Caenorhabditis elegans: one gene and its partner. The protein of the gene in region 1 purifies or fractionates together with the protein of each later gene. This does not show direct contact. Each region holds a gene or a part of one and is shown on either strand. Other genes may lie near its edges.

What was found.
Region 2: the proteins of lsm-8 (region 1) and lsm-6 fractionate together in Caenorhabditis elegans (co-fractionation; one large-scale study listed by BioGRID). This does not show direct contact.

The regions. Positions count from the first base shown.
Region 1 is NC_003282.8:6,324,543-6,329,987, reverse strand, and holds lsm-8 (U6 snRNA-associated Sm-like protein LSm8), read right to left. Parts: upstream 3,463-5,445; 5' UTR 3,456-3,462; coding exon 3,372-3,455; intron 3,145-3,371; coding exon 3,029-3,144; intron 880-3,028; coding exon 783-879; 3' UTR 509-782; downstream 1-508. Other genes in the region: Protein seu-1, read right to left, coding at 1-221, 335-349; sqd-1 (RRM domain-containing protein), read right to left, coding at 4,553-4,677, 4,755-5,262, 5,350-5,445.
Region 2 is NC_003279.8:1,699,703-1,702,374, reverse strand, and holds lsm-6 (U6 snRNA-associated Sm-like protein LSm6), read right to left. Parts: upstream 1,015-2,672; 5' UTR 1,004-1,014; coding exon 891-1,003; intron 798-890; coding exon 677-797; 3' UTR 567-676; downstream 1-566. Other genes in the region: Y71G12B.13 (RING-type domain-containing protein), read right to left, coding at 226-252; ubc-3 (UBC core domain-containing protein), read right to left, coding at 1,588-1,697, 2,365-2,672.

The DNA of each region.
Region 1 (5,445 bases):
GGTGATCGATGACGTCGAACTTCAGGCGAACGTTGGCGATGATCCTGTGAACGTCTGACTGGTGAAATTGCTGAAGATCTGCGAATCGGCGACATATCTCTGCGTTGTGGATAATGAGCTGGATTTTGAAGACGGCGTCCGCCACCACCACTACCACCACGACCGCTAAATTGTGGTGTACGATGATCACGGAATGTTGGTCGACGATTGTCGTTCTGGTTCTGGAAAAAATGTTTATCGATTTTTACTTTATGCTTTTATTCTGGTAGGAAAGTTGAAAAACGCGCAAAAACTCTTGTTCAAAATTATCCTTTCCCCATTCTATTTAACTCACTCTGATACTGCTCATTTTGCAACTTCGATCCGTATATTCCGTTGAAATCGAGCACTGGAATATTTTCTGCAAGGTTATTTCTGTGAAATGGCAAAGTTCAACGAGGAAACGATATTAAAAAAAGAAATGTTAAACCGATAAACAAACGGTTGAAACACGAAAAAATACAATGACGTTGCAATTTGAATAAATGCATATTTAATACATTAACTATTAAAAACAAAGCAAATAAATATGTATAAATTTTCACAATATTTGAGAGGAAATTAGAGATCCAAAAATGGTAAAGAAACGATGGTATGAATACAAAACCGTCAAGGAAACAAGAAAAGAATGGAGAATAGTTTGGGAAAAATGATTTAAATGGGGAGAAGAAATGGTGGGGGGAAACGATGAGAATAACCAGTCAATACAACGCGTCAATGCAGAATATCGATTTGTGTGGAAATTATTGGGGAATCCAAATTGGTGCAAGTGGGGCCGCTTTCACATTTTCCAGATCAACGCGTTTGTCGAGTTCTTCATCGATTTCACCGATAATCGCTCTGAAAAATGATAGATTTTCAAAAAGAAACATTTGGAAAAATCTACAGTAGTTGCAGAATTGGTCTTTATATATATATACATCATAGCTTTAAAAGTTTAGTTTCAACTTTTGCAATGAAAAAGTGTTCCGATAATTTCTCCACCCCTCTCCAGAGGGAAACAGAACAGGTTCCGAACACTTTTTTCATGGAATCACATTTTCTTTGAACAAAGTTCGAACGGAATGAATTGAAAGGTGTGAAATTGTGAAAGTTTCGGACATTTGACGCATGTCTACATTAATCTTTTCCAGCTATATTACACTGACGAAAAGTGAGAAAAGATTTCATAAAATTGTGTTTTGAATGGGACATGAATAGGGCCAGAAGGGGTATCCTATCCAAAAATAAACTATTTCGAAATATGAGTATTTATCACTTGACATTTGGAGTGGAGTATAGAGAAGAGTGGTGTATCGGAAACGAAAAATCAATAAATATAATGAAACTAATCAGAAAACAATTAGGTATTGAACAGAGACTGGAAGAGCCAATTTAGAGACTTCAATAAAATAATCAATCGCATTCGCTCAACGAGGAGTTTTTTTTTTAAAGTTTTAGTTCGTTTGGAACTTAACTGAATATGTTTTAACTATAAGCGCTTTTCAGATAGAAACGACAAAGTAAAACTGAAAACTGAAAACCTAGTAAGCAAGTTGTGAAGCTCCGACATAGAATAGGAAAACGGATACTTTTTCAACATTTTTCCCATCGCGTTGTCCATTTTCGTATTCGTTCTCTCGTTCACTATAACTATTTCCCTCTTTCGTTGTTTTTTTTTGTTGCCGGCGAAAATGTGAAGAGTACAAACAAAATAAATTGCTGGTGCTGCTGCAAGGCTTCGGGCAATCATATTGGTCAAGCATCAAATTGTGATTGAGGGCGAGAAAATGCCGAACGATTGGAAGAGATGTTTTGACACGTCATGCTTCCCCGACTTTTCCGTGTTTCCGACCGTAACAGAGCACAAGAAACGACCAGTTGCTATGTTTTTAGACGGCTGCCGAAAGCTGAATGATCAAAGGAACAACAGAAGCACTTGATCTGGTTGTTATAGAACATCAGGTACCAGGACTACTTGCACCTTTCTTTTTTTTTTAAATGATGACTCAATGTTGACTGGCGAAGGTATGTCGACGGAACGTTATAGAAAATATTCAACTGGAAGAAATGAAGTAAAATCAATTTGATGTTTCTGAGATGATAACATTGACCCGTTTTGAAGTGAATTGAACGAGAAAATTCCATTCTCAGCACTGATAGTCAACGACCACAATTAAATCTTATCATCGCATGGGTGCAACATTATAAAAAACGGATGATTAATGTCATCGGAAAAGATTGAATCGAATAGAAAAAAAAACTCTTGATGATAATTGAAATTAGGTCGATCTGTTTTAACACAGAGAAACTATTCTAACGCGACAATTTAAAAAATCGATAATTCATTTGAAGCAATTGGTCCGTAGAGCACTCCAAAAGAAAGAACAGAAGAGAGAGACCGGGTGAAATAGAGAGTACATAATGACCAACGAGTTTTTAGATTCGAAAAGATTGAAGAATGGCGATAGAGCGAATTTGCAACAAGCAAGGCGATGTGAAGCTTTTTATAAGGTTTAATGGGGCGATGTGAAAAAAAAATCCAGATAAAATGCTCCAAATGTTCAACATTTGTACCCGGTCTTTTATTAAAAGTCCAACATCTCCTCTCAACAAGAGAAGACCATGGATTTTGAGCAATAAAAACTGTCTTGGTTTTTAACACTCTCGTACATGATCAAGAGCTTCTTTGCTGAAGCAGGCGGCTCCGCCACTACTCAATTGAAACAATTGGTCAGTTTTTCGATAATGTGCACGGAATGGAAGGAAAAGCATGCCGAGTCCAATGTTTTCGAGGGTTTGTTGATCGTTTGACCCACGGATTGGGTGGTACGGGAACTCGGAAGTAAAATTCATCGGAATAAATGAAGTAGATATTCAAGAAGAGACATTTCTAAACTCTTCATCAACAACTAATTTTAGTCGCAGAAAACCTATAAATTCCAAAAGCAGAGCACCGTGACAAGGTAAAATCGATTTTTAAATTATGTCCCGTCAATTTTCAACTTACACATTCTCTCCTCGAATAATATATAGTCCCAATGGTGTCGTGAGCACACCTTCCGTCTCAGAATACGACCTTTCGTGAGCATCTTCAATCACCAAGTTGATTAATTGATCGAATCCCTAAAATTGTATAATTGAATAAAATATTGAAATTTTAAAAGGTAACATAATTTAATTATTTAATCCGACACATAAGCTCAGTCTTTTTGAACAATTTCTTCAAAGTTGGGATTCAAAATCTCGTGTTTTATAATAATCAAGATGTGCTGCATTTTTGAAATTTCTTGACAAAGGCTCGAACCTTTGTCGCCAAGTGCAGAAGCAACATTTCTTTCTAGATATTTTACCTTCAGAAGTCCAACGATAACCCGACCATCACCAGTGACCACGTTCACCATCCGATTCATGTACGCATCTAGAGTTGAAGTCATATTTTATCTGAAAATTGACTTCTAAATATTGAAGTTTATTGTTCCCAAGTGAGATATTTTTCACGGCAACCCACCTGTTCGCATTCAATTCATGAAGCATAAAAATTTAATGATAATATAAGAACAACTAGTCCTCAAAAATTTCATTCTCAGCTTAATATCAACACAAATGTTTGACATGAATCTATCATACATTAAAAACGAATGTGACAACAAATAACATGTCAAACGAAGAGGCAGTTATTAGAATCGGTTGGGGGGGGGCTTTTGGGAGCGAATTTACGGGTGAGATTGGCAAAAAACGAAGGAGAAAAAGGGAGAAGCTTTTGTTGGGTGGCTGGGTGTTGTGAGATTAGACGAAGACGGGACACCTGACGATTCATCAGATACACTTCAATGAGATGAGGGAAATTAACAACTAACTGCACAATTCAATGTGAATATACTTGACAACTACAGTGAATTGCACAGTCTAATTGGTTACCAGTTCCTGAACAAAGGAAAAAGCACCATAACAACAACTAAAAGACAAAAATTGGGGGCGAAGCATACAGACTTTAGGGAAGAGAAGTAAAAATACAGTTTGTTTTCTGCCGCAGAATCGCTCAAAGAAAAAACGAGCGAAACAATTAAAACAACAAAAAATGACTGAAAAAACTGATGGAAATAAAGTACTTCTACACATCTAAAAAGGCGGGTGGATAAAGTATTATGTTCACAAGAACATCATCTAAAACAACAAAAGTATGTTATTATTATTCCTGGAGTTATTCAAATCAAAGATTACCAACGGAAAAAAGTTGAGAGTCGATGATAGTTTGGGTGAGAATCAGAGAAACAAAACAAACTGGTTCGATATAAAATTCAACCTCGGGAACAACACATCTCAGATCGTCATTGCCAAAAAAGGAATTAAAGAAAAACGCGCGTTAGAAATTTAGGGTCGATTTGTAACTGCTTTTGATTGAGTCTGGGCGTGAGGACAAAACAATTTGGACATTTTTTGAAAGATTAGGTAGGAAGGAAACAGGAATTCTGAAGAGGACTGTGATGGAGGCATTTCAGATGGTGATTGAGGTGATGTTCTGAAGGCACATTTAGAACTGTTGGGCTTGAGCAGTTTGTTGTTGTGGCTGCTGTTGGAAGCGTGGTTGGCCATTGTTGCCCTGTCTGGCTCCTTGAGCTTGTTGGTAATCGAATCCACTGTTATTTCCTGCAAAACCTGATAGAATAAGTATACTGATGCATTCCTTGTGGAATGAGTCACAAGACATGGAATCAAATAGTAACAAAACTAACTCTGGTATCCGCTTCCGTAACCTTGCGATGATCCGCTGTTGTTGTGATGTGCTGCACCTTGTTGGCCGTAATAACCGTTTCCGTACCAGTCTCCCCAAGCTGCTCCAGTAGCTCCGTATGGCATAGCTCCAATTTGTCCCCATCCAGCATACCATCCCGAGTTGTTATTTCCACCACGTCCACCATACATTCCGCGACCACCTGGCATACGCCCTTGGGCGCCTGGGAACCGTTTTCCTTGTGGAACTGCTTTTTTCACGTCACATTCGCGAGTTCCGAAGGTCTGTTTTGTCTGGGAAGATGCTTTGTCTGCGGACTCCTCCTCCTCGAATACGATAAAAGCGAAGTTGCGACGAGCCTTGGTCTGCTTATCGAATGGCCATTCAATGTCGTCGACCTTGCCGAATTGTTCGAAATGAGAGCGAAGATCTTGCTCGCTGTAGTCCGATGGGAGTCCTCCAACAAACACCTTCTTGTTTTCCCTCGATTTTGCTGGCTTTACCTCGACCTATAACAAGAAATATGTTTATTGTCAATTGAACTTATATCTTTTTAGTGCCATTTAAGTAGGCGAGGAAAAAAAACAAGAACTCACAGATTTTCCCTTGATGGTTTGTTCGCGAGCAGCAAGGGCCAATTTACAGCCCTCTCCAGTGGTGAACTCGACAAATGCGAACCCTCTGGAGCGGCC
Region 2 (2,672 bases), on another chromosome or scaffold:
CTTTTCACTATGAAATTAGGTATAGTTTTTGAATGGTATCATTTGAAATGTGCGATCACATATCGGGCGGCAGAAAACCGCCTAATTCTCCTTTTCCAGTGCGGGTGGAAAGATCATCGCAAGGCGGTTTAGCCTTAGTGTGATCGCATATCATTACAAATTATCACTTACCACTCGGAGAGCAAAAGTTAATCAGTTTTTAAATCAAAAAAAAAATCAACTTACTAAGGCGGGAAGTGGTCCGGGTGGCATTATCCTTTTGAAAATTGTCTGAAAATTGCGATTGTTGCAGTGAAAGTGGCACAAAAATACGTAGAATTCGAAATTTGAGTTGAAAAATCGAAAAAATCACCGGAAAAGCTCGAAAAATCGATGAAAACGCGATAAATTGACTTAAAAATGTCTTCTTTTTTTCGAAAATGCTTCCCCGTAAATCGAATCGTGGTGAGACCCACCGCACGTGACGCATGACCGCGACGCGTCTAACGGTGAGGAAACCCAAGAAATTTCTCGATTTTTGCTGAAAAAGCCTGTTTTCGAGCGAAATAACTCAGATTTTCGGCGAAAAAAAAAACACAAATTTATTCGAGATCCAAACGTATCAAACAAGAAATTTGCTCAAAATAGCTCAAAAAAGGGAAAAATATTTGGAAAATAAATCGAAATCAAAAAAAAGTTATTTCGTCGATGTGGAGATGTAGAGCACATTGTTCCCGCGGATGAACGCATCGCCGTACTTGTTCTGAAGTTGTCCGTTGCTGTATTCTTCGGTTTGTTCGAGCGCGATGTTCATATATCTGAAAAATTAGATTTTTTCGTAATTTTTCTGGAAGAAAAATTAATTTTCAGGTGTTTTTAATCAGATTTTTTGATTTTTCCCAATCACTAACCCGTCGAGACATGCGAGAATGCCACGGTAGTCGACGCCAGAGTTGAGCTTCACCACAACCGGCTTTCCGATGACTTTCTTCAGGAATTCGGCGGGATTCTGTCGTTTGCTCATTTTCTAGAGTGCTGAAATTGAGAAAAAATATTACTTTCACGGGTTTTTAGAGTAAAAATATGTTAAAATCAAGAGAAAAATGCGTTAAAATTGCGATTTTGCTTCAAAAAAAATTATTTTCTACAGTGTCCGCAAACACCGTGACGCAAAAATGCAGACTTGCGAAAAAAATGTTTTTTTCGGATTAAATCGACTTATTTTTTGAGAATTCAACTCTAAATCTGCAATTTTCCGAGACAATTTAGAAAAAAGAAGGCTTCATTTATAGAAAACAAAAATAGTTGAAAGTGCACTGTGATCAGCCTGTGTGTGTGTGTAATTGGACAAAAAAAACTGTTTCCAGACGAAAAAATATTGAGTATAACACAAATATGAATTGATAGCTGCTTGGGAAGGGCAAAAGTGTACATATAAATGCATTGAGAAAAGGACTAGTTGAGTCGGATTTTGAAGATTTTTTGTTTGAAAGAAGCGCCAAGATTTCGTGGTATATTTGATATGAATTTGAATTTTTCTAGGTTGGAAAATTGAGAAAATTGAGAAAAAAAATGGGGAAAAAATTATAGAAAATTAAAAAAAATTGACTAATTTTCTCCTTGTCCCGAATCCTCGTCATCATCATTATAGTCCGAGCCGCATTCGTCCTCGTCCTCCTCCTCTTCATCGTCGTCATAGTCACACCCGAAATCGTCGTCTGAAAAAAATCGATATTTAATTGAAAATTTGGCAAAAATCCGGGTTTTTAACTGAAAAATCCAATTTTCTCGGGAATTTTACAACTAAATTTGCGAAAAATAGACTTTTTTTTGAGGTTTTTGAGGTCACGGGGTTCTGACCTTCCTCATTGAATTTTTCGCGCTCCATTGACAATCGCCCGCCGGAAAACGTGTGGGAAAGTCGTGTACTCCACACGGACAAATACATTTAGTTTTACAACTAAAATCGAGCCGCGGCGCGACACGCAACGCGCCGTAAATCTACCCCAGATATGGTGGCCTGGACTAGTTCGGCAAAAACTCTTCCATTTCAATTTATAAGGGAAGCCAGAAATCCGTGAATTCGTGCGATTTCTGGCAATTTACCTGAAAAATCGGCAATTTTTTTTGAAAAAAGTGTATAATTTTGCGGATATTTCGACTAAAAACTGACAATTTTTGAATTTTACCAAAAATAGCCAGTTTTAGTGCAAAAAACGCAAAATATAAGACATTTTTAGCGTAGAAGATGAAATTTTTAGTCTTAATTCACTTTAGACATCAAAAATGTCGATTTTTATCATTTTCTGGCCAATGTGACTGTAAAATTCCCGTTAAAAAGCGCTATTTTACGCCAAAATCGCTCAAATTTCGAGAAAACCCTACTATAATCAATGTCGTCAAAGACATCATCCTGTTGTGGTGGAGCCCATTTCACACAGTACTCCTCAATCGTTTCGGGCACTTGAATTCCATCTTTCTGTGCGACTTTCTTCGACTCTTCCACCTGCTTCGTGACGATTTTCGCGTATTCCGGGTCCTGATCCTCCTTCCATTTACGGTACATCACTGACGCGTCGACGTTGGCCGGTGACGAGGTGTTCGGCTCGTTGAGCAGTGAGATGACCGAGAGAAGGATGGTTCGGACGCTTTGAGTCGGGTTCCAGCGTTCACACGCGAGCTCTCCACTTTGT